Linked DNA regions of Oryctolagus cuniculus. The protein of the gene in region 6 binds, or shares a complex with, the protein of the main gene of each other region. Links are inferred from orthologs where the notes say so. Each region holds a gene or a part of one and is shown on either strand. Other genes may lie near its edges.

What was found.
Region 1: the proteins of THOC6 (region 6) and THOC5 are in contact, whole or in part, in a cryo-EM structure (PDB 7APK), measured with the Homo sapiens proteins. The link is inferred for Oryctolagus cuniculus from reciprocal best matches to the Homo sapiens genes THOC6 and THOC5. Residues at the interface, in NP_001334633.1 of Homo sapiens: Val5, Pro6, Ala8, Val9, Pro10, Leu11, Gly12, Gln13, Val16, Phe17, Leu20, Gln21, Leu23, His24, Met25, Thr26, Phe28, Tyr45, Tyr80, Asp94, Glu125, Val126, Pro127, Glu128, Asn130, Gly146, Tyr170, His172, Glu188, Trp222; in NP_001002877.1 of Homo sapiens: Pro406, Gly407, Asp538, Ile539, Val540, Asp541, Ala542, Gly543, Leu544, Ser575, Ile576, Ser593, Asp596, Arg599, Glu602, Gly603, Asn606, Val607, Tyr609, Arg660, Phe662, Arg663, Gly664, Pro665, Ser666, Arg667.
Region 2: THOC6 (region 6) and ALYREF share a complex: the UniProt entries of both Homo sapiens proteins name them as parts of the transcription/export (TREX) complex. The link is inferred for Oryctolagus cuniculus from reciprocal best matches to the Homo sapiens genes THOC6 and ALYREF.
Region 3: THOC6 (region 6) and THOC3 share a complex: the UniProt entries of both Homo sapiens proteins name them as parts of the transcription/export (TREX) complex. The link is inferred for Oryctolagus cuniculus from reciprocal best matches to the Homo sapiens genes THOC6 and THOC3.
Region 4: the proteins of THOC6 (region 6) and THOC7 are in contact, whole or in part, in a cryo-EM structure (PDB 7APK), measured with the Homo sapiens proteins. The link is inferred for Oryctolagus cuniculus from reciprocal best matches to the Homo sapiens genes THOC6 and THOC7. Residues at the interface, in NP_001334633.1 of Homo sapiens: Asp229, Trp232, His245, Thr252, Gln268, Asp269, Gln284, Leu285, Ser286; in NP_079351.2 of Homo sapiens: Lys110, Arg113, Lys114, Gln117, Glu118, Ala121, Leu122, Val125.
Region 5: the proteins of THOC6 (region 6) and THOC1 are in contact, whole or in part, in a cryo-EM structure (PDB 7APK), measured with the Homo sapiens proteins. The link is inferred for Oryctolagus cuniculus from reciprocal best matches to the Homo sapiens genes THOC6 and THOC1. Residues at the interface, in NP_001334633.1 of Homo sapiens: Leu57, Ser58, Ser59, Glu60, Pro312, Glu313, Lys315, Thr330, Asn331, Gly333, Tyr334, Ala336; in NP_005122.2 of Homo sapiens: Ser227, Pro229, Ile230, Asp231, Tyr232, Leu234, Arg236, Val270, Ser273, Tyr274, Asp309, Leu312.
Region 7: THOC6 (region 6) and SARNP share a complex: the UniProt entries of both Homo sapiens proteins name them as parts of the transcription/export (TREX) complex. The link is inferred for Oryctolagus cuniculus from reciprocal best matches to the Homo sapiens genes THOC6 and SARNP.

Annotation. Positions count from the first base shown.
Region 1 is NC_091452.1:22,917,894-22,922,317, forward strand, and holds the start of THOC5 (THO complex subunit 5), read right to left. Parts: upstream 2,822-4,424; 5' UTR 2,702-2,821; intron 660-2,701; exon of another isoform or gene 1-659. UniProt on the Homo sapiens protein: Component of the THO subcomplex of the TREX complex which is thought to couple mRNA transcription, processing and nuclear export, and which specifically associates with spliced mRNA and not with unspliced pre-mRNA.
Region 2 is NC_091448.1:1,021,287-1,025,571, reverse strand, and holds ALYREF (THO complex subunit 4), read right to left. Parts: upstream 2,942-4,285; 5' UTR 2,789-2,941; coding exon 2,552-2,788; intron 2,296-2,551; coding exon 2,164-2,295; intron 1,504-2,163; coding exon 1,356-1,503; intron 832-1,355; coding exon 768-831; intron 693-767; coding exon 521-692; intron 434-520; coding exon 419-433; 3' UTR 142-418; downstream 1-141. Other genes in the region: ANAPC11 (anaphase-promoting complex subunit 11), read left to right, coding at 3,216-3,324. UniProt on the Homo sapiens protein: Functions as an mRNA export adapter; component of the transcription/export (TREX) complex which is thought to couple mRNA transcription, processing and nuclear export, and specifically associates with spliced mRNA and not with unspliced pre-mRNA.
Region 3 is NC_091437.1:62,188,645-62,192,867, reverse strand, and holds the start of THOC3 (THO complex subunit 3), read left to right. Parts: upstream 1-1,316; 5' UTR 1,317-1,444; coding exon 1,445-1,711; intron 1,712-2,217; coding exon 2,218-2,374; intron 2,375-4,223. UniProt on the Homo sapiens protein: Component of the THO subcomplex of the TREX complex which is thought to couple mRNA transcription, processing and nuclear export, and which specifically associates with spliced mRNA and not with unspliced pre-mRNA.
Region 4 is NC_091441.1:85,848,458-85,852,782, reverse strand, and holds the start of THOC7 (THO complex subunit 7), read right to left. Parts: upstream 2,835-4,325; 5' UTR 2,609-2,834; coding exon 2,590-2,608; intron 1-2,589. UniProt on the Homo sapiens protein: Component of the THO subcomplex of the TREX complex which is thought to couple mRNA transcription, processing and nuclear export, and which specifically associates with spliced mRNA and not with unspliced pre-mRNA.
Region 5 is NC_091441.1:56,798,232-56,801,879, reverse strand, and holds part of THOC1 (THO complex subunit 1), read left to right. Parts: intron 1-561; coding exon 562-662; intron 663-2,695; coding exon 2,696-2,762; intron 2,763-2,960; coding exon 2,961-3,011; intron 3,012-3,101; coding exon 3,102-3,172; intron 3,173-3,502; coding exon 3,503-3,598; intron 3,599-3,648. UniProt on the Homo sapiens protein: Component of the THO subcomplex of the TREX complex which is thought to couple mRNA transcription, processing and nuclear export, and which specifically associates with spliced mRNA and not with unspliced pre-mRNA.
Region 6 is NC_091450.1:32,413,936-32,418,119, forward strand, and holds THOC6 (THO complex subunit 6), read right to left. Parts: upstream 2,886-4,184; 5' UTR 2,790-2,885; coding exon 2,751-2,789; intron 2,742-2,750; exon of another isoform or gene 2,367-2,741; intron 2,280-2,366; coding exon 2,164-2,279; intron 2,057-2,163; coding exon 1,992-2,056; intron 1,906-1,991; coding exon 1,802-1,905; intron 1,731-1,801; coding exon 1,693-1,730; intron 1,618-1,692; coding exon 1,569-1,617; intron 1,467-1,568; coding exon 1,395-1,466; intron 1,307-1,394; coding exon 1,204-1,306; intron 1,121-1,203; coding exon 1,071-1,120; intron 992-1,070; coding exon 929-991; intron 831-928; coding exon 720-830; intron 635-719; coding exon 500-634; intron 415-499; coding exon 334-414; 3' UTR 254-333; downstream 1-253. Other genes in the region: HCFC1R1 (host cell factor C1 regulator 1), read left to right, coding at 3,202-3,296, 3,629-3,745, 3,923-4,058. UniProt on the Homo sapiens protein: Component of the THO subcomplex of the TREX complex which is thought to couple mRNA transcription, processing and nuclear export, and which specifically associates with spliced mRNA and not with unspliced pre-mRNA.
Region 7 is NC_091442.1:58,622,833-58,626,480, reverse strand, and holds part of SARNP (SAP domain-containing ribonucleoprotein), read left to right. Parts: intron 1-1,190; coding exon 1,191-1,237; intron 1,238-1,453; coding exon 1,454-1,521; intron 1,522-3,648. UniProt on the Homo sapiens protein: Binds both single-stranded and double-stranded DNA with higher affinity for the single-stranded form. Specifically binds to scaffold/matrix attachment region DNA. Also binds single-stranded RNA. Enhances RNA unwinding activity of DDX39A.

The DNA.
Region 1 (4,424 bases), on a different chromosome or scaffold from region 6:
GTGCACCACGGTGGACATCTGCTGGCCTTGGTTTGTCCACAGCCCACTTGCCCAACTGCATTCCTTGCATTCCTGTTCTTAGGAAGCCTCCTCTGCCACCCACTAACCTGAGTCCTGGCTGCAACTGCACTTAGCACCCTGGGTCCCAGAACACGCCACACAATCTTGCAGAGATCTTCCTCCTTCTCTCTGTGCACCTGAAGACTAAGAAATGCTCACTGATTGCTCCAGGAAGCCTCTCAGGGCTCCCCAAGGCCCTCCCTTGGGTATTTGGGATACACTATTAGAGGATTTCTCTCTCTGACTTTCTTCCCCATGTGCCTGGCGAAACGCTCCATAAATTGGTAGCTCCTTAGTCTGGCACGTAATAAGCTTATTCCCAACACAACCAACAGGTCACAGCGTGGTGGGCCTTCACCTAGGCACTTCATGGGTGTGTTCACATTCGATCTTCCTAACTTTTCAGATGGGAATTGTTACTTGTGTCCCAGATGAGAAAGTGGAGGCTCGGAAGGGAAATGACTTGCCTAGTCACCATGCTAATATGCTGAAGCTTGGGTCCATCTGCAGCTACACCGGGGCTCTAGACAGCTACATCCTCAAGCCTCCTCGTCCTGCCAGCATATCCTATGACGGTGTCATAAATATTCTGGTTGACCCTAAAATTTACAAAGATCAGAAGCTATGTTCCACGGGGCTCAGCAGTCACCACCCCTCATGGTCATCCCCAGTCTCTCCTGAGGCAGGCAGCACAGCTCCTGATCTGTAACACTGAGAGCCAACAGCGTGTCATGACGGAATCCCAACCTGAGTGGGACTCCCTACGATATCATGTCGCTATGAGTCTTAGAACAAGTCGCTTCCCTTTCCTCTGGTCTACATCCTCACAAAATCAACGAGAGCAACAGCCCCTGCCTCAGGGGTTGCTGTGGGCATGAACATGGGAGCTCCTCTGGGGAACGGGGAAAGGGCATCTGGTGATGGCCCAAGGACTTGGGTTCCTGCTACCACATGGGAGACCCAGATGGCGCTTCTGGCTTAGGCCTGACCTGGACCAGCTGTCGTGGGCATTTGGAAAGTGAACCAGTGATGGACAGTTTCTCTGTCCCTCTCTGTCAGTGTGCCTTTCAAATCAATTAATCAAATCACCTCTTAAGGGGGAAGAGGGAGCAAAGAAAAAAACTTGGGGCTTTAAATGGTCCATGAGGGGCCGGCGCTGTGGCACAGTAGTAGAGACTCTACCTGCGGTGCTGGCTTCCCATATGGGCATTCAGGTCCCAACCGCTCCTCTCCCTATCCAGCTCTCTGCTATGGCCTGGGAAAGCAGTAGAAGGTGGCCCAAGTGCTTGGTTCCCTGCACCCATGTGGGAGACCCAGAAGAAGCTCCTGGCTCCTGGCTTCAGATCAGCCCAGCTCCAGCCATTGCGGGCGGCCATTTGGGGAGTGAACCAGCGAACAGAAGACCTCTCTCTCTGTCTCTCTCTCCCTCTCTGTAATTCTGCCTCTACAATAAACAAATCTGTCTAAAAAAATAAATGGTACATGAGTGACCTTAGATAACACTGAACACCTAGGGGCCAGCATGACGGCACAGTGAGCTAAGCTGCTGCCTGCAATGCCAGCACCCCACATCACAGCAGAGCCCGGGTTTGAGTCCTTGCTGATGTGTGGTGTGCCTGGGAAGGCGGTGGAGGTCGGCCTTAAGTACTGGACCCCTGCCACCCCTGCTGCACACCAAGCACGGGAGTTCATCCCTTTCCAGTTCCTTTTTGAAACTTCTGTTTACTTCCAAGAAAACATCGGCTCCCTAGCTTGTCCACAGCTATGAACGCAACAAAAGGACGGTCTCGGAGCCTTAGACAATGAAACCTGGCCAAAGATCATTAACAATCACACTTCCCCGCTATATTTATTACTGTCATTTTCATCACTACCATCTGCATAAAAAAAGTGAAAACGGTTTTCCGTTTATTGTGGAGACTTAAACGTTTTCTCTCGAGTCAGTTTAAATTGAAAAAGAAAGAAAGAAAGGTGCCTAGATTGGGGCGGAGGATTTGGTACAATGGCTAGAACGCAGCTTGGACACCACATGCCCAGGCTGGAGTCTCGAGTCCATCCGAGCCCAGGTTCCTGTTCACGCACAGCCCGGGAAGCAGCAGGTAACGGCAGCTCCGGCCCTGCCACCCACGCAGGCCCAACCCCAGCTGCCGAGGGCATTTGGGGAGCTAAGTGGCAGGTGGGGGGTTTTATTCCCTTCCCTTCATTCTCTCTCTTTCAAATAAACAAATATTTTAAAATGCTAAAGTGAGTAAACAATAATTAGTGATTCGACAAAGCCACAAAAGTGCGACCCCAAATACTGAAAATGCGGTAAATCCTGGCTCTGGCAAAGCAGGAGGCTGTCCGGCACGCGGACGCGCGTGGCCAATGTGCACTCTTAGCACCAGCACCGCCACCATCCCCATCAGGCTCCACACGTCCCTCATCACCAAGCGGCTACAACCCAGACCCCGAGGATGCGGCCGCGAGCATTTTCCAGATGAGCAAACAGCGCCCCACGGCGCCTACCCGGAGAGCAAGGTCAAAAAAAGCCCGCCGCCCAGGGGCACCTTTCGGGCAGTCCGCACCTCAGTCCCAGAACGCCCGGCCCTGCCCGCCGCCCAGGTCGCCACCCAGGTCGCCACCCTGGTCCCCTCCTCACCGAACAGCTCCGCAAACCTGTCTCTGGAAACGAGCCACTTCCGGCGCCTAGGTGATGACGTTCCTTGCACCATAGAGAACCGGAAGAAGGGAAGGAGCGGCCTTCCGGAAGGCGGGCGCGGAGGCCGGAAGCGAAACGCCAAGTTCCCGGATGGCCGTGGATGTGCTGCGCCGGGGGCGACATCGTGGCGAGCGACTAAGCTGTGGGCGCTCTAGCCGGCCAGCCACCCCCGGCTGCTCTCGAACACAGGGAAACCGAGACCGTAAGGACAAAGACTCATACGTCTCGTTCACTTTCCCAGGTGCTACAGCAGTGCCTAGCAACGAGCGAGCGCTCTGCCCAGTCGTAGAATGAAGGGGTTGCCGCATGCCCACGATAACGCAAGAGCTGGTAGCGCCAACACTTGGACCCTGGTGAATTCGACTCCATAACCTGGCTTTGTAACCACCGTTGTGTTCACCGTAACATGTCACATCACCAGATTCTCCATTTTAGGCCCGATTTGACCGGGACAGTATCACAACTCGAAGGCAGTATTTGAAAGCATCGAGTGTTTCCTACACTTGGCATGAACTGTGCAGCAGGGCCCAGGATTTTTGGTGCAGGTCCTCAACCGGAGCTAGAAACACCTGTGTCAAGTCGGTGTTTGTACAGGGACAGTTCCTTCTCCTGCCCTGGGGCGAGGCTGAAGATGCCTCCCTGAGCCTAGCTCGGGTCGCAACGTCCTCCAGGGCTGGGGACATCAGCCATGTGGGACAGGGAAGCTGGCCAGCCCCGCTCTGCTCTGCCCAGCCCCGCTCTGCTCTGCCCAGGCCCGCTCTGCTCTGCCCAGCCTCGAGCATCCGCTCAAGTTCCTTGCAGATGAAGAACAGACACGGTGACTTATAGTAAATATTTAATTGGTTCCTTCAGCCACCCCAGTACTTGTTTTCATGGACAGGAGGCAGATCAAGTTCCCGGGGGGTTCACGAGGTATGGGGGTCACAGAGGAAGCTCCCAGGGTCGCTACCCAACTCCACGCCGGTGTCCCTATGAGGGCTGGGCTGGCAGCTGTCGCGTGAGGGGGAGGAAACTAGGGGGCCCTGGCCTGTGCTTGAGCCTGCAGGAAGGGACAGGTGAGCCTCTCTCCATCCGTCTAGTACTCACGAGCCCCTCCCCCAACGGTCTTCTGTCACTCCGACCTGTCTTCCAAATTTTGTGGCTCAAGAACCAGGGTCAGAACTCTACGTTCCAGCTTCTGGGGCTGGCTCCCGCCCCCACGTCCTTCCTCTCCCGTGCCATCGCTCTGCCTCTCTGGGTGCTGATCTGAGGGTTTTGGCAGTTCCAGACTTTTCCACAGCATGAGGGATTTGGCTCAGACTGTGCAGCAAGTGGGTGGTCCAGTGGAGACTAGGGAGTCCTGAGGGTGTGGCCTGGCCTGGCCTCCTCCCTTCCCACCCCACTTCGAACCATTGGTCGCACTCCCTTTTGCGCAACTAAGCTAAGCCAAGGTTTACTGAGATGCTAACTGGGGACGGACAGCTGTGAGGTGAGGGATCCCAAGGGAATGTGTGAAGACATGAGAGGTTCTGATCTGCGTTCAGGGAGATGAGGAACTACTGGCCGGGGAAGCCGGTGGGTGGGAGAGACTCTGGGCAGAGCGGGAGTCCTCAGGACCCCATAACCCTTCAGCTCCCCAGGTCTGAGCTCAGCCCCACCCCCCACCCCCAGATCTGGGAGAGAA
Region 2 (4,285 bases), on a different chromosome or scaffold from region 6:
GCACACAGCAGGCGGGGTCACACTGCTCCTCCCCACACCCTCCCCCAGGGCACACAGCAGGCGCAGTCACTCGAGCTCCTCCCCCGCCTCGCCCAGCTCCAGCCCCACACCAGCCCCAGGGCATGGACCAGGCAGTGCCGCTCTACACACATCTCTATTTTATTATGGCAAAGGTGGAAACGCCACCTTCTCCACAACAGCAACCAGTAAAATTTATCCCAAAAATAACTCAGTACAAAACAGGTCTGTTTCAGAATTTAAAAAAAAAAGAAAAAGAAAAAAAAAGCCTTTACATGAGTTCTTAAATCCTATTTTAAAACACAAAAGAAACAAACGCATCCTTGGCCACACAGCGCCGGCCGCCCTCCCGCCAGGCACAGGGACGCCGTGTCGGTCCCGCTCTGCTCGCTCGCCTCCTTTAGCTGGTGTCCATCTGCAAAGGGCAACAGAGGGGAGCTCACCAGGGGCTGCCGGGCCGGGCCGGCCGGGCCAGCCGCGCTCCCGGCCCCGCGGGACTCACCCTGGCGTTGTAGGCGTCCAGCTGGGCGTCCAGCTCCTCTGCAGACAGCTGCTGCCTGGCGCTCCTGCCGGTGCCTCTGCCCCTGCCGCGGCTGCCGCCACGCGCGCCTCTCCGGGTGCCGCCGCCGAAGGCCCCGGGGCCGCGGGTTCTGGTCACGCCGCCTCTGCTTATGCTGGGGGAAGCGGCGCTCGCTCAGACACTGGCAGGCCCCCACGGCCGCCCGGCCCGCGCGCGGCCCGCGCCTCACCTCTGTGCCGGTCTCCGCTGGGTGTCGATCTGTGACGTGACGAGCTGGATGTTCATGGGGCGGCCTGTGCGGAGAGCGAGAGGGGCCCGTTCTAACCAGCGGCTCGGAGCGCCCAGCGGCTCCACGCCCTGCGCTCCATGCAGGCGCTGGCAAGGGCCTTCGTGTGTCCAGCGCCCCCGTCGGGGAGGTGGCCTGGAGCCTGGCGGGGGCTCCGGCGAGGGCAGCGGCCCCGCCGACACCGCCTCATCCTCGGGCTGCTTGGTCAGGTGTGGTGTCCGGGGTGCTCGTGGGCGGACAGGTGTGGGCGGCCTGACGAAGAAGAACCGGTACCTTTGTCTTTACGACTACAGCCCCGCACTCAGAGGTGTACTATGGCGGTTCTGAGAAGGCTTCACAGAAGTGAGTCTTCCGGAAGGAGCTGAGGGGAGGGTGTACTTGCTGGATGGGGGTTCACAAGAGGTTGGTCCCGATGTGCGGGGCAGAATGGAAGAGAGAGACAAAGGGGCAAATGCAAAGTGTCCTCAGCCAGAGGGCAAGCCGCTGCTACGGGCCGGGGCCGCCCACTCCGCGAGCCCGTCCCGGACTCACCGTCCAAGGGCACGCCGTTGTACTGCTTCATGGCCTTCAGCGCGTCCGCCTTCCGCTCGAAGTGCACGTCTGCCGTGCCCAAGCTGCGGCCGGAGCGGTCGTAGTGCACGGCCGCCTTCTTCAGCGTCCCGAACTCCGCGAACAGCTCCTGGTCAGACAGAGAGCTGTAGCCAGGCCCCGGAGGCCCAGCGCCGTGGGGCGTCTCCCGGGGTGCGGGGGAAGGGCCGGGCCGCAGACACAGCAGCTTCCGAGAGCGCCCGGGGCCCAGGGCCGCTGCGTATCCGCGCCTCGCTGCAGGGGATGGAATCGCAAAGCCCGCGTCTGCCGTCACTTCCAGCAAACTGACTGCGCCCAGGGCGGCGGGGGCAGCTGCCCGGCCCGCCCCCGCCCCCGGCAGAGGCTGGCTCCCCCTCCCTCTCCGCCCCACGCCCGCAGCCAAGTGCTGCTGAGCCGCCTGACCCCAGGCAGGCTGGGCGTCGGAGAGGGAACCAGAGTGGGACACGCCGGCCGCGGGCACAGCGGGAAGGAGGTCACCGAGAGCGGCTTCCAGTGGACGCCAGAGACCACCTTAGAAAAAGCCAGCGCTCAGGCCCAGCGTCCGCCGGCCGTCCGAAGGCGGACTCCTACCAGTCAGCCCCAGGCAAGAGCCAGCCCCCCTGGGCTCAGAGCAAAAGGGAAAAAAAGACAAAAGAGAGTGCGGGAAACCAGAAAGGCTGCACCCACGCGGGTCCGAGGCCGCCCGGCTGCCAGCTCGCGGGGTCGGCCCGGCCCGCCTCGGCCCCCCGCCCAGCCCCGGCCGGCCGCTTACCTGGATGTCGGCGTCCGACACGCCGAAGTCCAGGTTGGACACCAGCAGCTTCCCGCCCGTCTCCACGCCGGCGCCGGCCCCGAAGCCGCTGTCGAACAGGTCGTGCTGCCACTTGTCGGGAAGCTGCTTCGGCTGCGGGAGGAGGCGCCGCGGCGGGGCGGAGCGTGAGCCTCCCCGCAGGCCGCCCCGCGCGCCCCCACGCACTTCCCGCCGCCCCGCGCGCCCCGGCCACACAAAGACCCCAGGAGGCCCCGGCGCCCGGCCGGCTCCCCCGCGCGGCCTCGCCCGCGCCGCCGCCCGGCCCGCCCCGCGCCGCCGGCCCCCGCAGCGCGCACCCCCGGCCCCGCTCGCCCCCGCCGCCCGCGGCGGCGGCCGGCCCGGCACTCACCCGGCTGTAGGGCGCCGGCCGGTTTCTGCCGCCGCCGCCGGCCGCGCCGCGGGCAATGGCCGGCCGGTTCCGGAGGGGCCCGCCGCCGCGGCTCACGCGCGCGGCCGCCTGCGCTCCGCCGCCGCGGCCGCCCTGGGAGCCGGCCCGGCCGCGGCCCCGGCCCCCGCCGCGGCCGCCCCGCTGGCTCCGGTTCAGTTTGATGATGTCGTCCAGAGACATGTCCATTTTGTCGGCCATGGCGGGCGCCGAATCGGCCTCAGCTCGATCCCGCGCGTCAGCACGCCGCGGCGTCACTTCCGGCGGCGCGCGCGGACTTCCGGCGCCGCGGCCTCGGCGCTGGCGCTGATTGGCGGCGGGCGGCGGCTGCGCGCGCGGGGCGGAGGGGCGCGTGCGCAGTGCGCGCGGAGCGGGCGGGCGCGGACTGGAGCTGCCGGCCGCGGCCGCGGTCGTTTTTATACCTTCCCGCGCGGACGCGGGCGCCGCCAACGGAAGGGCGGGGCGGCGCGCGGTCAGGTCGCACAAGGTGCGAGGGCGCCGGGGATTGGGGCGGCCGCGGGGGGCGGGGCCGGGCGGGCGAGGGGCGGGGTCGGCGGGCGGCGGCGGCCGGGGGTCGCGGCGTCTGCCGGCTCACGCGCGCCCCTCCCGGCCCGCAGGCCCCGGCGCCATGAGGGTGAAGATCAAGTGCTGGAACGGCGTGGCCACCTGGCTCTGGGTGGCCAACGACGAGAACTGCGGCATCTGCCGGATGGCGTTCAACGGCTGCTGCCCCGACTGTGAGTGCCCGGAAGGGCGGTCGCGGAGAGCGCGAGGCCGGCCCGGAACGCCGCCCGGGTGCCCCCGGGGGCGCAGGGCCATCGCCGCTGCCCTGCCCGGACGGGAGGAGGAGGCCGCACGTCGGCCCCTGCACCGAGAAATCTGCGGAGCCCCCACCGCCCTCGCCTGGGGCGCGGTGGCAGCGGCTCGCGGCGCCTGTTAGGATTTACTTATTTACTTGAGAATCCGTTACGGAGAAGCAGAGCGGGGAGAGAGGTCTGCCATCCGCTGGTTCACCCCCCACATGGCTGCAACGGCCGGAGCTGCGCCGACCCAGGGCCAGGAGCCTCCTCCGGGTCTCCCACGCGGGTGCAGGGCCCAAGCACTCGGGCCGTCTTCCACTGCGTTCCCAGGCCACAGCAGAGAGCTGGGTGGGAAGTGGAGCAGCCGGGACTCGAACCGGGGCCCATACGGGATGCCGGCGCTGCAGGCGGTGGCTTTACCCGCTGTGCCACAGCGCGGGCCCCTAACTGTGGTTTAGTTTTTCCTTCCACCCTGGCTGGAGAGAGAGCTCATCAGGAGCGATCGCCCGCCGGGACTGGGTCGGTGGGTGGGTGCCGGGCTCTGGGAGTGGATTTCTCTCCACACCCTCTTCTGTCGTGCCCCGGGGTCATCCCCTCCAGGCCGGCCCTTTGATTGGCTTTTCCTGGTAGCAGAGATTAGCAATTGGCGTTATTCAGCGTTTAGATTGCTCTGGAGGGCGGGACACAGCCCGAGGCCAGGGCTTGCACCTTTCAGAGCAACGTTGTTAACCTCGGCAAGTCCCGAGGAAGCTGCCCGAGCCCACGTCTCTAACCAAGGCAGTGTCTCTAACCGTGGCCTTGCCTGTCGTGTCTTCTCGCGTGGCCGGCACTGGGCCTGTGAGGGGCGTCCAGGCACTCAGCGCTGGCTACAGCAGGGCCTGCTGGCTGTGGCCGCAGC
Region 3 (4,223 bases), on a different chromosome or scaffold from region 6:
CTGATACAAGATTAATAACCAGAATATATAAAGAGATCAAGAAACTCAACAACAACAAAACAAACAACCCAGTTAAGAAATGGGCAAAGGAGTTAAACAATCATTTTTCAAAAGAGGAAATCCAAATGGCCAACAGGCACGTGAGAAAACACTCAAGATCACTAGCTTTCAGGGAAATGCAAATCAAATCCACAATGACATTTCACCTTAACCCCCTTTAGAATGGCTTTCATACAGAAATCACCAAACGACAAAATGCTGGTGAGGATGTGAGGAAAAAGGTACCCTAATCCACTGTTGGTGGGAAAGTAAACTGGTAAAGTCAGTATAGAAGACAGTATGGAGATACCTCCGAAATCTGAATATGGACCTACCATATGACCCAGCCATCCCACTCCTGGGAATTTACCCAAGGGAACTGAAATCAGCAAATGAACTCTATCTGTACCCGCAGTGTATTGCAGCTCAATTCACAGTAGCTAAGATATGGAATCAACTCAAATGTCCATCAACTGAAGACTAGATAAAGAAATTATGGGATATGTACACCATGGAGTACTACACAGCAGTAAAGAAAAAAATCCTGTCACTTGCAACAAAATGGATGAGACTGGAGAACATCATACTTAGTGAAATAAGCCAGTCCCAAAAGGACAAATACCATATGTTCTCCCGATCTGTGATAACTGTTAGAGCCCCTAAAAGTTTATCTATAGAAGTGAAATTGACACTTGGAGATGCAACGACTTTGAACAGCACTTGTCTCGATTGTCTTTCTTCATACTACTTTTTGAACCGTTTTCTTAGTATAGAGTTAATCATGTGTATAAAGTTAACAGGAAATAAATCTTAGTGAAAAATAAAACTGGGCATAAGAGAGGGAGGAGGAAGAGGGGTGGGAGGGAAGGTATGGTGGGAAGATTCACTATGTTCCTAAAGTTGTACTATGAAATGCATGAAGTTTGTATTCCTTAAATAAAAGATTTCTGGGAAAACAAAAAATCGCGGACTCCTCCCTCCTCCCGGGCCCTTTTTCAGGACAATATCACCCCAGTCCTTCTCCAGGGCCTCTGCTCCAGGGGGAGGGTTAATACTAGAGCAAGGGCATTTACTGATAGGTAAACTGCTTGCAAGGTTACCGTGGGTTTCCTTCTTCAGTTAAACAGGGATACAAATACACCCATCTAGAGACAGCCAAGCGAACCACGCACCCAAGCTGTATAGGAGTCGTTAAGCGTGAAGCCAGTTTACAGCGGAATCGCGCCTGCCAGAAAGCGCGCAGCCTGGCTCATGTTGCACGCCGGGATTTGTAGTCCTTTCTGGTGCTGGGGCATGGTGCGCCTGCGCAGAGCAGGGTGCGCCTCCGGGCGCATGCGCGCAGTGGCGGCGCCAGGACTGATTGTGCCGGAACCGCGGTGGCGGAGTTGTGGTCTCTGAGTTCGCCATGGCGGTGCCCCCGGCTGCCATGGGGCCTTCGACGCTGGGCCCAAGCGGGCCGGGTTCGATGGCCCCCTGGTGCTCAATGAGTAGCGGCCCTTCGCGTTACGTGCTCGGGATGCAGGAGCTGTTCCGGGGCCACAGCAAGACGCGCGAGTTCCCCGCGCACAGCGCCAAGGTGCACTCGGTGGCCTGGAGCTGCGACGGGCGTCGCTTGGCCTCGGGGTCGTTCGACAAGACGGCCAGCGTCTTCCTCTTGGAGAAAGACCGGTTGGTGAGCCGCCCGGGCCCGGCCTAGGCCGGAGACAGGGGCATTGATGAATTGAGGTGGGGGTGGGCGAGGGGCAGGGTGGAGGTGGAGTGGAAAGTGAGCGTGAGGGTAGGAGAGGAGGGAACGAGGAGATGAGGGTGTGTGGGGGTGTGATGGGGTGGATGGGAAGGGTGTGAGGTGAGGGGAACAGTAGGAAGGCTTCGTGTGGCCGTGAGGAGTGGCCGGGGGCAGTGGTGGTGGTGCTGGTGGGGTCCCTGTGGTAGGGAGGGGCGCCTTTGAAAATGATTTGGGTCTTGTGGGTTGGGACATTAGGGTAGAGTGAGGGTGGCGAACCAGAGAGGCGGGGAGAGGGCAGAAGCTCAGAGCAGTTCAGAGTGATCAGGGAGGAGGACGGGCTTGGAGGGGCTGAGCGCTTGTTGCTAGTGAGAGACCTTGGTTTGAATAAAGGTGGGTTACACATGCGGGCGGCTGTGCCTGGTGGAAATGACACGTGGATTCTGTGCTTCCAGGTTAAAGAAAACAATTACCGGGGACATGGGGATAGTGTGGACCAGCTGTGTTGGCATCCAAGTAATCCCGACCTCTTTGTCACGGCATCCGGGGACAAGACCATTCGCATCTGGGATGTGAGGACTACGAAATGCATTGCCACCGTGAACACCAAAGGTGACCGTGCCCAGGGACGGCAGGAAGATAAGCCTGTGTTGGTTCTGCACCCTCTGACGCTCACCTTGTATTGCGTATCGGAAGTAATCCAGAGGTGATTTAAAGTATCAGGAGAGTGTGTAAAGGCTCTGTGAAATGCCATCGCCTTGTTGTGAGGGACTTACAACACGTCCATGGGGTTTTGTATCTAGGGGTCCTGGAACCAGTCTCCTGTGGCTGCTGAGGGACCCCCGTGTCTTCCCCTGTGCCTGGCATTTTGCTAAGTCTGGGGTATCCTGAACTGAACAAGACACTGTCCAGCTCCTAGGGCCTCAAGGTTAAGGGGAGGAGAGAGACTTGCGTGAATAGGACTTGTTCATCTTGTAGCATGGTGGACACCCCAGGTGAGACAGGGAAGCCTCCTGGAATTCCAGTACAGTTCTGAATGGCTGTAGGAATTTCGTGGCCAGAGTGCAGTGTGTAAGGAGGGAGGTGGTTCCCGGAGGAAACCCTCTAATGAAGGGGTGAGGCCTGCATGGCCCTGGTGGCCTGGGAGAACAGGACTAGAGCGATGTGCAGTACATTTTTGGCCAGGTATTACCTTGTAAATCATGAAACCGTGACTTAATGCTAAGATATTATTGATAGGAGATTTATCAATATTTCTTATGCCATTAGGACAGAAAGTTGCCAAATAACCTTGGTACCCCACGATTTTTGAGATGCTTCTTGATAAATTTTAAAATGCATCATAAATATTAAGTTGTGAAAATGTACATTTTAGAATAAAGGTGATCGGCTGGCGCCGTGGCTCAGTAGGCTAATCCTCCACCTTGCGGCGCCGGCACACCGGGTTCTAGTCCCGGTCGGGGCGCCGGATTCTGTCCCGGTTGCCCCTCTTCCAGGCCAGCTCTCTGCTGTGGCCCGGGAGTGCAGTGGAGGATGGCCCAAGTACTTTGGGCCCTGCACCCCATGGGAGACCAGGAAAAGCACCTGCCTCCTGCCTTTGGATCAGCGCGGTGCGCCTGCTGTGGCGGCCATTGGAGGGTGAACCAATGGCAAAGGAAGACCTTTCTCTCTGTCTCTCTCACTGTCCACTCTGCCTGTAAAAAAAAAAAAAAAAAAAAAAAAGAATAAAGGTGATGAAGTTTTTAAATTTTTATTTATTTGAGTGGCGGAGCGACAGAGAAAGGGAGAGCATGGGTGAGTGAGGGAGGGCTTCCATCTGTTGGTTCATTCCCCAGATGTCGGTGAAGGCTGGTCAGGAGCCTGGAATACAAGACAGGTCCCTCGTGAGAGTGGCTGGAACAGAGCCATCACCAGTGCCTTCTGCCGTCGGCATTAGTGAGAAACTAGGGTTCGGAGCCGAAGGCAGGAATCAGACCTAGGCACTCTGGGGGGTGCAGGTGTCTTAGCCATTAGGCTGAGTGCTTGCTCCCTGAAATTCTCGATGGATGTGTTCAGCATGGTCACTGGACCCGACTTAGACCTAGAGGTGGAATGGTGTAGTGCTTGCTTCACACAGCTGGTGATACGTGTGTGATTTAAGTTGTATATGGATGGACATTAAAAATTGATTATGTATATATTTTGATGTAAAAAGAAAACTAATCTCTAGGATTTATTGTTTAATTGAAACATTATTTTTGAGTCAAATTTAGAAAAAGTCTTGAATAAAGAGAAGTGTAGCTTTTGGAGTTTGAGACATGATGTAAGAAAGAATAAGAGGCTTTGAGGGCAAATACAGTTTAAATCTTAGCTCTGTGACTTCCTGGCTTTGCCACCTTGGCCCATTTTCTTCCATTTCCTCGTGTATAAGATAGGGATAATAACGTGTCCCTTGTGAAGTCCAAATGGGGTCATTAGCTGA
Region 4 (4,325 bases), on a different chromosome or scaffold from region 6:
AAATACAAGACAGACTAGCAGCACAACTTACATTTAACACTGGTTACTGAACACAGTGATATATCAGACTCAGTGCAAAGCCCTTTCCAACTTTAATGCTCAAAACAACCCCCTGAGGGGAATTCTCTATCACTCCCATTTACAGAGAATGAAAGTGAGGCTCAAAGAGGCTAGTTAACCCATACATACATGGTCAGATAGCTTGGAAGTGCTGTGGAGTGGGGATTCCCTTGGCCTCCCCAAACGTGGGGGGCACTTGACTGCAGGCAGCCATCTCCCCAAGTCCCATCTGACAAAACCGACCATTTCTCTACAGTTTTCTACCTGAATAAACAACCCAACTTGTACTAGTAGGCATACTCAAGTCAGATACCCCGGATCAGCCTCGACGCCTCCCCTCACATGTGCTCATTCAACGAAGCCCTACCGTTCTACCTCACGCGTCCTCTCCGGGTGGGCATTCCATGACCTCTCACCAGGACCACCACCCTGGTAGTGCAAAGACAACATGTGTAACAGGCAAAAGCAAGAACTCTGAAGCCAGTTTGCCTGGGCTCTGTAACTTACTACCTCTGTGCCTTTGGCCAAGGTAACTTCTCCGTGTCTCATTTTCATCTGCAAAGCAGGGATAAGAAGGAGGACACTGCTCAAAGCACGATTTAAATACTATGTAAAAATCAGTGAGGGGAAAAGACACTCATGTAGCTCCTCACTTTCCTTGCCCCTTCTCGTTCACGTGTGTAGTGCAAAGCTGATCCCACCACACCAATGGTACAGCCTTTTCATGTTATTCTATTGCCCTGCAAAGTGTCTGGCTCCCAACTTTCTAAATTTTACACAATACTATAATTCTTGATTTACTTCAACACTTAGATGCCTCTACACAAGTGGATTCTCACACAGAACTCTAGTCTAGTTACAGCTGTTTTAGTCTCCACAACTAGGATGAAGAAAAATTCTTACAGGGAGGTGTTTTGATCTGTTACAGGGCCCGGTGCTGTGGTGCAGCAGGTTAATGCCCTGGCCTGAAGCGCCAGCATCCCATATGGGCCCTGGTTTGAGTCCCAGCTGCTCTACTTCTGATCCAGCTCTCTGCTGTGGCCTGGGAAAGCAGTAGAAGATGGTCCAAGTCCTTGGGCCCCTGTACCCGCGTGGGAGACCTGGAAGAAGCTCCTGGCTCCTGGCTTTGGATCGGTGCAGCTCCAGCCGTTGTGGCCAATTGAGGAGTGAACCAGTGGATGGAAGACCTCTCTCTGCCTACCCTCTCTCTGTGTAACTTTGGCTTTCAAATAAATAATAAATAAATCTTAAAAAAAAAAAAAAAGAATCTGTTACATGCCCCTACAGCTCTCAACCATGTACTTTCCCTGTGTGAACACTTGCCCGTTTTAGAACGAATTCTCCAATGCGTTTTTTCTATCAGAATCTAACCTCAGTGTGGGGAAAAGGCCTTGCCTATTGGTTCTTGGCTTCTGTTTTGAACAAGGCCTCGCAAGGGGTAGAATACATTCTCTACCGAATAAAAGAAACCGGAAGGAAAGGAAGTAAAAATTTCCATGGAGTCCCTGGGCCTTTCAAAGCCTCCCACCTACACTACGCCTGTCAGCCCACAAGTCTGGGACCAGAGCTGTTGTTTCCATTGTCTGATCCTTACTGTAGGGACCCTACGGGTCCTCAACTCTTCAGAGCTGGACCGTCCATAGGCAACTATAGTTCCTGGTCACCTTCTCCACAAATAAACCCCAATACCGCAGATATCCATGGGCCTCTTTCTTTCCTAACCAAATACCTTTTAGGTTCCCCGTCCAGTCGCCCATCATGGCTGTTCACCCTTCCCCAAATCCAGTTTCCTTCTTTCTGCTTGCCGGTACAACGGGTCCACAACCCGCCCTCCTTGATCCACACCCACACGCCCCCTTTACCGACCTGATCCCTGTTCAGGCTCCTTACCTAGTAACCCTAGCACCCAAGTAACACTTTGATTGCCCTGCAAGGGCCTCATCCACATCTACTCCTTCCAGATCACGTCTCCAGCAACCTGTCCCAACCTCAAATCCACTCCTCCTTGAAGCCCTCATGGCATTCCACCCACAGGTTCCACGCGCCCTTCGCCATCTGCCCAAAGGACCCCTTTCAGAGGTCGTCTCCCTCTGTAGCCACTTCATATCCCGAAACTTCTAGGGCTCCCACTCCATTCCAGACACCCAGCCCCGCGCCATCCCCACCCCCTGGGCTCCGCCAACCCGGGACTCCATCATGACCCGGGACAGCCGAGACCCCGTCTCCCGCCCGGCCGCCACGTGCGTTCGCAGCCCCCGGCGACCCTCCCGGCACACCCTCCACGGGCCCCGCGCACCCTCGGCGCGCGGACCAAGGCGCCCAGGGGGCCTCTGCCACTAGGGCGAAGGGCTAGGTGAAGCGGCCGGCAAGGCCTGGGGCTCCTGGGATAGATCGGCAAGGCCGAAGGGCTCGGCGGTAGCGGCCGGGGAGGCCGAGGGGCTCCCGAAAGCGCCGTTCCCCGCCGGGGGGGTCTCAGGGAGGCCGAGGAGGGCTGGGGAGCGGACCGGGGCGACTGCGAGGGAGCCTCACCGTCTGTCACGGCTCCCATGGCGTGCGCGGCGGCGGCGGCGCAAGCTGAGGCGGCGGTTGGCGGCGGCGGCGGAGGTCAAACTCCCACAATGCAGCCGGGTAAACAGCCATGGAGGAGGAGGCGGCGGCGCCCGCGGCCGCCTGCTCCGACGCCTGAGCCGCGCCGCGCCGCCGCCGCCGCCGCTGCCGCCGCCGCCGCGGGACCCGCGCCCCCCGCACTCCCCGCGGGAGGCTGCGGCCGGCGCGTGTGGGGTCGAGGCCAGGCGGCCGGCGGCGGCCCCGGCTGCAGCCCCGGCCCCCGCCGCCCCCCCTGCCGCCCCCGCCCGGCCCACGCCCAGAGGCCGCCCCGGAGGCCGCCGCCAGCCGCCAGGTGAGCTCGCCCGGGCGCCGCCGAGGCTGCGGGAGCGCGGCGGGGGCTGCAGGGCATTGAGAGTCCCTGCGTTTCCCCGGGGAAGGTGACCGCGGCCGTCCCACTGCCCCATCCTGCTGGGCGGGGGTGGGGGGTGCGGGCTGGAGGTCTCGCTCCCTTGGGGGTGAGGAGGGCGTGGGGGCGCCTGGAGCCGCCTGAGCCTGGGAGACGTGAGAGGAGGCCACGGAAGGGGCGCGGCGTTGGGGGTTGGGGGAGGCTCGGTGGTCCTTGCGAAGTTGGCGCCCACGCGCGCCGAGGCTGGTCTCGAACGCGGGCACTTGCGCCGGGCGCCGCCAGCAACCAAAGAAGGCCCCGAGTTCCAGGTCGCGCGGTTCCGGCCCTGGCGGCCGCCCCCTTCCTTCCTGGGCTCTGGCGAGTGCAGGGGAGAGGGTGAAAGAGAAACTTGTGGACCTCCGGGAGCAGTTCGCGGAGCCACCGGGAGCGTCGTCCTGGCCCGGCACCCAGACTCCCCCGCCCCCAACCCCTCCCCGAGCCGGAATCCCGTCGGTGAACGCGATTGGGTGCTTTTATTTATTTTTTCCTTGCATTTTCGAAAACTGTCTTAATGTGACTGTCCCCCCTCTTAAGGGGAAGTTGAAGAGAAGGGGCGGGGGGGGGGGGAGCGAGAGGTGTGTTCTGGGAGAGACGTTGCCTTGTGTGTGAATTACACATTTCCGGAGCACCCTGCAGATTATATTGGCCTCTCTTCCCCAAAGTCACTGATTCAACTTCGACGAACTTCTCGTAAAAGGCAACGTTGAAGTGGCGGTGGATGAGAGGCGGGCAAGCAAACTCAGGCACCAGTACAGCCAGTTGGAGCTCCAGTGAAACGCACGCTTAGCCCCAGAAGCACGTCTGAATTTTGAATGTAGCCTTGGATAGTTTATGGAGGCACCTGGTTAGTTTCCCAGTTGTCCGGCCCCTGTCCCGTGCACCCTGGGTCTTCCTACCCGGGATGAAGCAGTTGTGTAGGATGAATTTGGTTACTGCCCTGATTGACTGCGTTTACTCAACTTAAGCTCACTCTTTCCCGCGCCAGTGCTTTCAAAGAGGAAGATTTGTCAGTCTCAGTATCTGACAGCGAAGCTAGCTACCCCTTAGCTAGAAATCGGTAAATGTAAATTAGATTCCTATTCTGTGAGGCCACTAACGTTAATAATACCATTACTGTACTATCCAGAATTAGTGCTCAAGAATTTGACTTTCGGCACCAAGGCAAAAATTGCCTTGGGTAAAGAGTCTCTGGCATGACCTGCCCTCCCCCGGCGTGTGCAGCCTCCCTGGTTTGGGAAGAATATTGGCCTAAAGGCTGGGTTATAAGGCATCA
Region 5 (3,648 bases), on a different chromosome or scaffold from region 6:
TAGTGCCAGCCAGATGCAGAGCTATTGAAGAAGCTTCCTCAGAATGACCTACAAGTCCTTTCTGATCCACAGTCTGTGGCAGTACAAGTATGATGCAGTTTTCTCTGAAATCTGACAGACCGTTTAATTCACAGATGATTCTCCACCTCTCATTCCTTGTTAAGAGCACCTCCTCTGTTGCAGGCACTTTGTAAGAGGATCACCCTGGATGTTAATACATTTTTCCAAATGGACCTCCCCTTTAGCCATTATTTATATGTGAGACAGTGTGGCCATACTGTTATATTTCCACCTTATTTTGTTCTGATGTCAAGACCACAGATGGGACCTTTTTGACCACCAACATGAATATCTCACGGCATAAAATAACCAAGGAATCAAAATGACACCTCTGCTGCTCTGCCTTGGGCGTGTACAGTAATGCCTCACAGGCAGTGCACTCTCAAAATATTTTTTTGGTTGAATTGGAAACTTCCATTTCTATAGTAACATAATGTGTATCTTTAGGCAAAACTTATTTTAATGTGCTTTTTTGTGTGTGTGTGCTTGTTTTTTGAGTAGTTGATGGATTTACAGCTGAGTGACAGTAACTTTCGTCGGCACATCCTGTTGCAGTATCTCATTTTATTCCAATATCTCAAGGGGCAGGTCAAATTCAAAAGGTAAGTTAATATTGGTAGCAAGAAGTTTATAAATAGCAGCAAAGAAAAGGACTTATTGTTGTAATTTTTTTATGTGTCGCACCAATTTGATGTTAAGAGCTCCATCCCTGTAATACTTCTGTTTCAGCAATGTATAGCTGACTGGGGGTTTTTAGATAGTAGGATATCTGTTTTAAGGAGCAAGTGTTAAACATACCTACTCTCAGATAAGTCTTTCCTGCTGAACTTTGTGCTTCTGGGGAATTCTTTATTCCTGGGTGGATGGAGGTCTCTGCTACAGACTCCCATTATTCCTTTCTCACCTCACTCAGACCTCCTCCTAAGCTAACTTGCAAACTAAGCCATTAATCTCTCTCACAAGGTGTGAAGCCATTTAGGACATTAAAACTGAAAGAAGCAAAGAAAATGCTTGAAGCCAAGAGGGGTTCTAATTTCCTTGGTGTGTCACAAAACCTCATAAGGATCTCTGTATGTGAATGCTTCCATCCAGAACAGACCATTTCCTTTTGTCCTGTCCATGTAGAATTGGAACCTACTGTTACGTGACAGTATTTTTGTTTAGTACACAAAGAAATTCAGTATTATATAAGGGACCTAACTTTACTACTTCCTGGGGTTTAGTCCAGTGTTATCACTTGCTGGCTTCAATACATTGCCTTCAGGCTTTTTTTTTTTTTTTCTTTTTAAGATTTCTTTGGGGCCAGCTCTGTGGCACAACAGGTTAAGCTTCCGACTGCAGTGCTCGTATCCCATATGGGCACCAGTAATAATCCCAGCTGCTCTGCCTCCAATCCAGTTCCCTACTAATGTGCCTGGGAAAGCGGTGAAGGACAGCCCAAGTGCTAGGATCCCTGCACCCACATTGGAGACCAAGAAGAAGCTCCTGGCACCTGGCCCAGCCCTGGCCGTTGCAGCCATTTGAGAAGTGAAACAGCAGATGGAAGATCTCTCTCTCTCTCTCTAACTCCGATTTTCAAATAAATATTCAGTTTTTAAAAATTTATTCATTTAATAATCAAAAAGCAGTTAGCAGAATGAGCTATCTTCCATCTGGGTTCACTTCCCAAGTGCCCACAACAACCAGGTCTGGGCCAAGCTGAAGCCAGGATCCTAGAACTCCATCCACATCTCCCAAGTACTTCCTTCCTCTGCTTTCCCAAGCACATTAGCAGGCAGCTGGATTGGAAGCAAAGGATGCCAGCATCACAGGCAGTGGCTTAACTGGCTGCACTCCAATGCCAGCTCCCAGACTTATAATTTTAAGGTAGTATATGGTAAACATTTAACAATCTTTTTTTAAGATTGACTTATTTATTTTAAAGGCAGAGTTACTGAGAGAGAGAGAGAAAGGTCTTCTGTCTGCTGGTTCACTCCCCAAGTGGCCACAACAGCCAGGGATGGGCCAGGCCAAAGCCAGGAGCCTAGAACTCCTTCTGGGCCCCCCACGTGGGTAGCCTGGGCAAATGATTGAGCCACTGTAGTCTCTGCTTTGTGAGTGCTGTAGTAGTTCTGGGAAGTCAATGGTTGAGCTCAATCCTGCAACATGGTAGGCTATCCATAATTTCTGTATAGCACTGAATGCACAATGACAGTTCAGTTAATGGCAAGTAATAATAAATGGGTTTGCTTTTGGCCTTTTCTCAGGTTTTGTTTTTTTTATTCATTGTTTTTTGAATGAGTTTTAAAGGAGTAGAGCATGCCTGTCTGAATGTGTATCATCTATAGGAATGTTAATATTGTCTGAGGGGCTTTCATCCTTCCTTAAACTTACTTTAGAAAACATCTGTTTTGGTCATTATATGATTGATTAAGTAAATGTTTTATTATTCCTTATGTCCCTTATATCCTCACTTCTAACCCTCTTGAGGATGAAATGTAGAGTTTTCTCTTAAAATCTCCATCAGTGTTGACACTTATTTACAGTATCGCTAACCTGTACATTATATACCTTATGTTTCCTCAAGACCATAAATAAATCTCAAAATTGAATAGACATTGCTGTAATGCAGTGCTTTTATTGCTTTGTTCCCTAGTTCAAACTATGTTTTAACTGATGAGCAATCACTCTGGATTGAAGATACTACAAAATCAGTCTATCAAGTAAGTCCAACATGCAACAAACCCATGATTGAAAAAAATGGAAATTTAGAATTTTCTTTGTTTCAGCCCCAAATAGGAAAATAAGGATAAAGTTAAGCTCAGGTACAAGACCACAAACACTTCTTGGTTCTCTGCCTACAAACCACTTCTATGATGCAGAAAGTTGTTGAAAGCTTAGTATATTCTTTCTAATCACAGCTACTATCTGAAAACCCCCCTGATGGAGAAAGATTTTCAAAGATGGTAGAGGTATGTAATTTATATTTTACTTAGTCATCTTAGTACCAAGTAGAGAATTTCATAGGATTCTGTTATGCAAATATAATTTGTTTTTATCAGCATATATTAAACACTGAAGAAAACTGGAACTCATGGAAAAATGAAGGCTGCCCAAGTTTTGTGAAAGAAAGGTAAATAAATACTCATATCTTATGAAAAAGGAGGCAATCATTGAAAAATAGTTTGACCTGATTTTTTATCATGTACAGATGCATATGCACATTTCACATATTAAATGTAAAACTCTTTGGTTTATTAAGTTCCCAGACCAAATAGATATATTAATTATTGAAAAAATGCTATAAACTACTCCTTGTATTTGCCCTTCTTCCTGATCAGTGTTCTACCATAATATGAAGTTTTCATCTTTAGGAAGAAAACAGCATAACTAAATTTTCTTTAATTCCTTCTCTGCTGTCCATCTGTAGTTCCAAAAATAGCTCATATTTTGTTCTCCACAGAACATCAGATGCCAAGCCCACAAGAGTAGTAAGGAAGAGAACAGCTCCAGAGGACTTCCTAGGGAAAGGACCCAACAAGAAAATTCTTATGGGAAAGTAGGTTAAGTTGTCTTTGTATGTGGGATGTTCTTTCTTGTATCTTTTGA
Region 6 (4,184 bases):
GGGGCCCCCTTTCCTCCAACGGCAATGAACCGGGGGGGCCCAGGTGGCCGCCTCGCGCAGGAGCTGGGCTGGGGCTCTTGGGGAGCAGCTTTGGGGCCGGGGCCGGGCCCGGGAGGTGGCAGCAGCGGGTGGGGCAGAGCCGTCTATTTTTGGAATCTACAGAGGTCTATCTTTTCTAAGCTTCTAAGCTCCAAGATCCCTGCCCGGGCATGCCCCCCCCCTCGGGTACTTATGTTTTCAGCATCCCACAGAGTAATATATAAAAAACAAACTTTATTGTGAAAAAACAGAACAAGGTACAGGCTGCTGGGCGGGGGTGCAGGTGTCCGGCCGTCAAAAGGACAGGGAGAAGGCCCGGTAGCCCAAGTTGGTGAAGACGTCCACCCGGCAGCTGTTGCCGGCCGCAGTCAGAACCTGGCAGCAAGACGGGCATGACTGGCCTGCTCCGGCCCCGGGGCCTCCTAGGGCGCCTTGCCCCCCCAGCACCTGGGGGACCCACCTTGCACTCGGGGGCCGCTGGCTGCTGGTTCAAGCTGAGGCTGAGCAGCCCTGGGGAAGAGCCAGGCACTTGGGCCTTGAGCTCCCCGCTCAGCTGCCACTGGTTGACGCAGCGGCCCTGGCCTGCGGACAGAATCTGGGGGGCGGACGGGGAGAGAACTCAGGGGCCGCGGCTGCAGGGGGGGCCGGTGAGGGAGGCAGACGTGAGATGGGGGCCTCACCAGGTCCTGGTAGAAAGTCACGTGCTTCTGTGGTGCCCGCACGGGGAAGACGGTAGTGGGCGTGGAGGACCGCAGGTGCCACAGGGTGAGGGCTGGGCCCCCTCCGCACACCTGGGCAGGAAGACAGCAGCCCCAGCCACTCAGCAGACAGCCTGGAGCCTCCACCCCCCGCCCCCACACCCCCACGGCCTGAACCCCGCCCAGCTCACCATCCAGTCTGAGTCCGTGGCCAAGCATCCGATCCAGCGCCCATTGTGGGGCCTCGCACACTCCTGGGAGAGAGGAGGGGGAGACCTGAAGGTGCTGGGAGCCAGGAAGGGGGAGGGGAGGAGGCTGTGGCCCCGCCCTCACCTCATGCTTGTACACCTCCACCGTCTGCACCTCCTTGGCCGTGCGCAGGTCTGTGGGGAGGGAGCCATGAGGGGGGCGAGGGGCCAAAGGGCTCCCCCTCATCCGCCCCCCACCCGCCCAGCCACCGCCGTACCCCAAAGCCGCACAGCCCCATCCTCGCCGCCGGACAGCACCTCGGGGCTCCGCTCCCGCAGCGCCAGGCAGTGGACGTAGTCCGTGTGGCCCCGCAGGGCCCGCTGCAGGGAGAGCCGCAGGCTCAGGCCCGGACCCCGGGGTGCCCACCCCCCACGCTGGGACCCACCCGGATGCCAGGCCACGGCTCACGGTGAAGCTCCCGGTCTCCAGGTCCATGGTGTGCAGCTGACAGTCCCCTCCGGCCAGGATGAGGGCATTCTCCTGCAGAGAGGCAGGGGGCGCTGGGAGTGGCTGCGAAGCAGGGGCGGGGGGAGGGGGGCGCAGAGAAGCAGCAGAGCTCGTGCCAGGACAGAGGGCTCAGACCTTGGGCACCAGCAGCAGCGCGTTGATCTCCGGCACTTCCAGGCTGGTCCTGGGGGGGTGGGGGGAGGCAGGGTCAGTACCTGCACACCACCTCCCTGCCCCCACCCCCGCGGCCCTGGCTCACCTGTACGGGGGTTGACGGCGCCACAGCTCCTTGCAGCCCTGCACAGGGGGAACACTGGTGACCCCAAGGCCTCCTCGTCCCAGCCCCTCCTCCCGCTCCACACCCCTACCTTCTTGAGGATCTCTGCCCAGAGCCAGGCCTTCACCTCCCCATCCCCCGCACTGAGCAGCTGGCGATCGGTGGAGACCATGCTGTAGACGGGCCCCTCATGAGCTAGGGGGAGATGCAGAGCCTGAGCGGGCCCACCCGCACCCTCCCCCACCAGGGTCCCCTGGGCCGGATCCCACAGGCAGACCCACCTTGGAAGGTCAGCACCGGCTTCTTACTTTCTTCTTTGGCTTCTGAGCTCAAGGCGGCCGACAAGCTGGAAGCGGAGCGGGAGGGGGCGCTCAGGGGGCCGGAAGCAGAGGGCTGCGGTGCCCCCCGGGGGCAGGGGCAAGCTGAGTGCCAGGGCCTAGGCGCCGGGGGTACCTGAAGATGGCGATCTGGCCGTAGTTGTTGCCGGCCGCCAGGAACTTCCCACAGGGGGAGATGCTCTGGGAGAAGACGGTCATGTGCAGCCGCTGCAGGGCCTGGAACACCTCCATCTAGGGGGAGCGGCCGGATGAGACCCGCTTCCCTGCCCCCGCCCCCGAGTTCTCGGCCCTCTGGGGCGGCGGCCTCCAAGCAGGTACCTGCCCAGGCAGTCCCAGGGGGGCTGCAAGAGGACGGAGAGGGAGCCCCGGGCGAGCATCACGCCCCGCCCGCAAGCCTCCCCGTCAGGTGGAGCTCACGGGGCGCTGACACGGAGACGAGCTACTGCACGCAGGGCGCTGGGCACACGCGGACAGCACTTAAAAGGCGGCTCTTCCATCCCGTCCTCAGTCCCAGCCACTCCTCTGGATGTCATGTCAGCCCCACGGGGCACTCCTGGGCTCCTTTCCCGCCCTCAGCTACAGTCCGACTCCCACGCACAGCCACGCAACACAGGGCTCACGGCAGGCCCCTTTGCCGGCCCCGTCCGAGCCCGGCGTGGACTACAGAACCCCAGAAGGCAGCGCGCTCCGCGTCCGGCTCACCTGACCCAGAGGCACCGCGAGCGGCACAGCCCGCTCCATCGCCGGAACTACAAGACCCAGAGTGCCGTGCGCGCGACGCGGCCTCCCGGTTCCGGACGTGCGCGCGGGCCTCCCCTCTCTGAGCTGCCGCGCCGCCTCACCACTACCAGCCGGCCCGGCGCGAAGGCGGTCACCGCGAACCTGCCCGAACCCAGCAACAGAGGCTAGCGCCGCGGAGCCCCCCGATACCGAAGAGCGGTGCCCACGGCAGTCCGGTTACGCCCGGCCCCCTCCCCCACCCCGCGGAACCAGCCCTCCCTCCCGCCGCGTGCCGCCGCGTCTTTCGCGCCTGCGCAGAAGGCCGCCGCGGCGCGCTCCTAAAGCCACACCCCTCGCTTTAGGCCACGCCTTCGGAGACCCCGCCCCTTGCCGCCCGGCTCCCACCCCTCTGCCCGCACGACCCCGGACCCTAATGATCCTGCAAAAGCCGCTGGAGCGGGGCCCCCTGAGCCGGGCCTTGCGCGACCCCCGGGCCGTCTCGGGCACGAGTCGCGGCCTGGACGCCAGGTGAGTGCGGGGGCCCTGGGGTGGGCGTCAGCGTCGCAGGAGCTTGGGCCGGGGGCCCGGGGCTGGTGTTGCGGGAGGCCTGGGAGCAGGGTGGACCGGCGGCTCCTGGGCTGGAGCTCAGGGTCGGGACTTGGGCGGTGGGCCGCTGGTGGCCGAGGGGTCCGCTCCTGGCGAGTGCGCACTTGCTCGGGACCGGGCCACGGGGACGGGGTGCGCCTGGCCCTGCTGTTCTCTCAGCTCCGCTCTCCGCGCACAAGCGGCCAGCGGCGAGACCCACAAGGTCTCCGTCATCTGCGGCCCGCATCCGCCCGCCTTCCTCCCCATCTCCCCAGGGAGCCCGTGCGCAAGCACTCCCCGTCGGAGGAGAGCATGGCCACCCACTTCTCTCGGCTCAGCCTGCACAACGACCACCCCTACTGCAGCCCCCCCGGGGTCTCCCCCCCACCCAGGTAGGCAGGATCGCTCAAGGTCCTCGGGCCGCTCCGGGCCCTGCCTCATCGTGCTATTTTTAGCGTCCAGCCACTCTCCTCCGAGCGTGCCGTTTCCGGGTCTTGGCTCCCGAGCAGTGCCCTGGGGGCCTGGGCAGGGAGCGGGCCCCAAGTCCTCACTGAGGCTTCTTCTTCCAGCCGCCCTAGCTCGGAGGTGCTACTCTGGCGCTACCCGGGGAGCCTGATCCCCGAGGCGCTGCGGCTGCTGAGGCTGGGGGACCCCCCGACGCCCTCCCACCCTGCGACCCCAGCCGGCGACGGGATGGAGCTCTGAGTGCCCGCCTCCCCAGCTGCACCGCGGAGGGGCCAGACGCCTGCCCGGCCTTCTTGCCTCCGGACCTCGCAGCCCCACGGGGGCAGGAGCGTGGGAAGGGAGACTGTGTCCCCGGGGAGCAGAATA
Region 7 (3,648 bases), on a different chromosome or scaffold from region 6:
CCAATACTGACATTCCATATGGACACCAGTTCAAGTCCTGGCTGCTTCACTTCTGACCCAGCTCTCTGCTAATGAGCCTGGGGTAGCAGAAGATGGCCCAAGTGCTTAGGCCCCTGCATCCATCCATGAGACTCGGAAGAATTTTCTGGCTTTGGCCTGGCCCAGCCCTGGCTGTTGTATCTATATGGGGAGTAAAAGTGAACCAGCGGATGGAAGATCTTTCTCTGTCTTTGTCTCTGTCTGTCTCAAATAAATACATCTTAAAAAAAAAAAAAAAAAAAAGGTTGTGTAGAATGCATATTATGAAAAAACTGTATGGATTTCATAATTTTTATATCAAAATAAATTTATCTTTATTTGTGTTTTCTGCAAACCTTTTGAAGTATCCTCATGGTGTACTGTTAATATTATGAACTACTTGTTTTCTTTATGTTCATGTGAGAGTCTTTCTGGTATATATATCCAGGAATGGGATTGCTAATTACTGTATACTCATGTGGCCAAACTTAATGTGACCTAACATGCCAGGTTTTTCCAGATTGGTATATAATCTATACTCTCATCATCAGTGCATGATCATTCTTGTATCTCCACAAACCTAAATTTGGCACTATTAAGTGGCCTAGTTTTTGCTAATTCATTGGTACAAATGAAAAGAAAATTAAAATCTCTTATGTGTTTTTTTGAGGGGGTGTTTCTTTTTTTGCACATTTTCCTGTTGGAGTACCATCATTCACTGTTGGTTTACAGGCTTTTCTTTGTTAGTTTTAGATACAAATATCTTCTTTGTCATTTGTCTCTTAACTTTTTCTGTGGTGTACTTTCTTAGTAGAAGTCTTTAGCTTTTTTTAAGAAATCTTTAATTTTCAACAATAGCTTTTGCTACTAGGTTTTTTTTTCTTTTTTAAAAAGAATTCTTCTCAGTCTCCCACATTACTTTTTAAATTACTTTTATAGTTTGACGTTATCACATTTATTTCTTTAGTGTAGCTGAAGTTCAGTTTCATATCGATGTTAAGTAGAGATCTGATTTTATCTTCTTCATATGTAGGAAATAGTTTTTGTATCAGTTCTGCCTTAAATACTAAATTTTACTTTGGGAAAACAAAATGATCATAATTTTAACTGTAGTACAGTGATCAAGATGGTTTTGTAGCAGGGCTTGACCTGAATATTTTAATATTCTTTAGCTGAAGAGGAGGCAAATGAAGAAGATGTACTGGGAGATGAAACAGAGGTGAGTTGGAGGAGTAAAGTTAGCCACTGACCTGATCTTGTTTTGCCTTGGCCACACTGCTTAGCATCAGTCATGGCAGGTCTGAGATGCTAATTTATTAAGGGAGCACACAAGGGGAATTAAGGTTCTGAGATACTGATTAACTTTGGGGTTCTGATATTCTTTTGGGTATTTACTCTAGCTTTATGTTAACCATTTTGTTTCATTTGGTTTTAGGAAGAAGAACCAAAGCCCATAGAATTGCCTGTCAAAGAGGAGGAACCCCCTGAAAAAAACATTGATGTGTAATTATATTTTTTCTATAATCTCAGTACAGAGCAGACCTGTTTTTATTGGGTGTTATGTTTCACTCTGTTTGCCTCTTCCACATTCCCACTGGCCTTTTCCTTTCTGTTGGATCATACATTTCCTGAAGAGTCTGTTTTACTCTCATGTATATGGTCCCAATGTAGCAAAGCAGTTTGTCTCTTAAGTTTTCTAAAAGGTAATTAGGACCAGGTGACTTCCAGCTCAGACAGTTTAGTTCTCCTAGTTTTTGTTGTTCTTTTTGAGGATCACCGTAGTAGATTATTCTATGACTGTATAGAGAATCTGAATGTAAAATTCTCTAAACTCTGCTACTCTTTTCTTTTCCATAATATAACTAGTTTTTTGAGAAAGGAAGGTGTTGGGTAGAATTTGTCTTTTGTTTAAACTATCCTACAAGGTTGATCATAAACATCTTTTTTATGGGAATTTTCCCACAACTGCCTTGACCATTTTGTACTCCAGCACATTGAAAACAGTTGATGTGTAAGTACAAATCGGTACATAGTGAAGTATATAGAAAATTAAGTACCCTTTGTTTCCACCTCATTTGAATTCCCAGAGGTTTTTTGCACATTGTTTTGGAATGAGTAAAATGTGTGTCTGTGAATGTGTATGTATAGGTATATGTATACACATGATATGGACACTCTTGTTTTTTTTTCACATCTGGAGTTTTTTTTTTTTTTTTTTTTTAAAGATTCATTTATTTGAAAGGCAGAATGACAGACAGGGAGGGACACAGAGAGATTGATCTTCCGTGCGCTGATTCACTCCTGCAACAGACACAGTGACCGTGGCTGGACCAAGATGAAGCAGAGAGCCAGGAATTTCATATGGGTTTCCCACATGCAAGGGCCCAGGCATTTGAGTCATCCTGTGCTACCTTCCCTGGGCACATTGGTAGGAAACTGGATTCGAAGCAGAGCAGCTTGGACTTGAACTGGTGCTCTGATATGGGATGCTGGTATCGCAAGTAGCAGATTAACCTGCTGCACCACAATGCCCTCCCCATCTGGAGATATTCCTATATCATCATCATCATATCCTAATTTAAATGTTATGTTAGATATAGTTCTAAGTATTTTACACATACACTCAAATAATCCTCACATTGATTCTATAAGTAGGGATACTTAGTAAGTGTTAAGTCTGTCTCTTTTTCTTTTAGCTTGTTTTGGGAAATTTAAAGTATGGAAAAAAGTTAGGATAGTATAATAGACTATTATATACCCATCACCCAGATTTGGTAATTCTCAGCTTAGAACATTATTTCTAGCCACTAATAGTACTGCATTTTGTGAATAAACAGTAATTTATTTCACCCGTCTCTGGTTGATGGGCATTTAGATATTCCTTGTTCTGATTATTTTTATATTTATATTATGCGAGGATGTCCATGGAACAGGTGTTTTTTTTTTTTAAGATTTATTCATTTATTTGAAAGTCAGAGACAGAGAGAGAAGTCTTCCATCCTCCGGTTCATTCCCCAAATGGCCACAATGGCCAGGGCTGGGCCATACTGGAGCCAGGAGCTTCCTCCAGGTCTCCTGTGTGGGTGGCAGGGGCCCAAACACTTGGGCCATATTCTGCTGCTTTTGCCAGGCTATTAACAGGGAGCTGGATCGGAAGTGGAGCAGCTGCAACATGAATTAGCACCCATATGGGATGCCAGTGTTGCAGTTAGTGGCTTTACCTGCTAAGCCACAATGCCCTCATGGTACAGATTGTTAGCTGCGGATTTGCTGCATCATAGAGGATGTGAATGTTTTTATAAAGATCGGTTTATTTGAAAGGAAGAGTTGCAAGGGGAGGTGGTGGGAGAGAGCGAGTGATCTTCCATCTGCTGGTTTACTCTCCAAATGTCTGCAGCAGTTGGGACTGTGCTATGCTAAAGCTAGGAACCTGGAATTTATCTGGATCATCTCCCACATGGGTGGCTGGGCCCCAAACACTAGGGCCATTCTCTACCACCTTCCTAGGCACATTAACAGGGAATTGGAACAGAAGTGGAGTGGCTGTGACACAAACTGGTGCCCATATGGGATCCTGTATATCAAAAGGGGCTTACCCCACTGTGTCACAGTGCCAGTCCAAAGGATGTA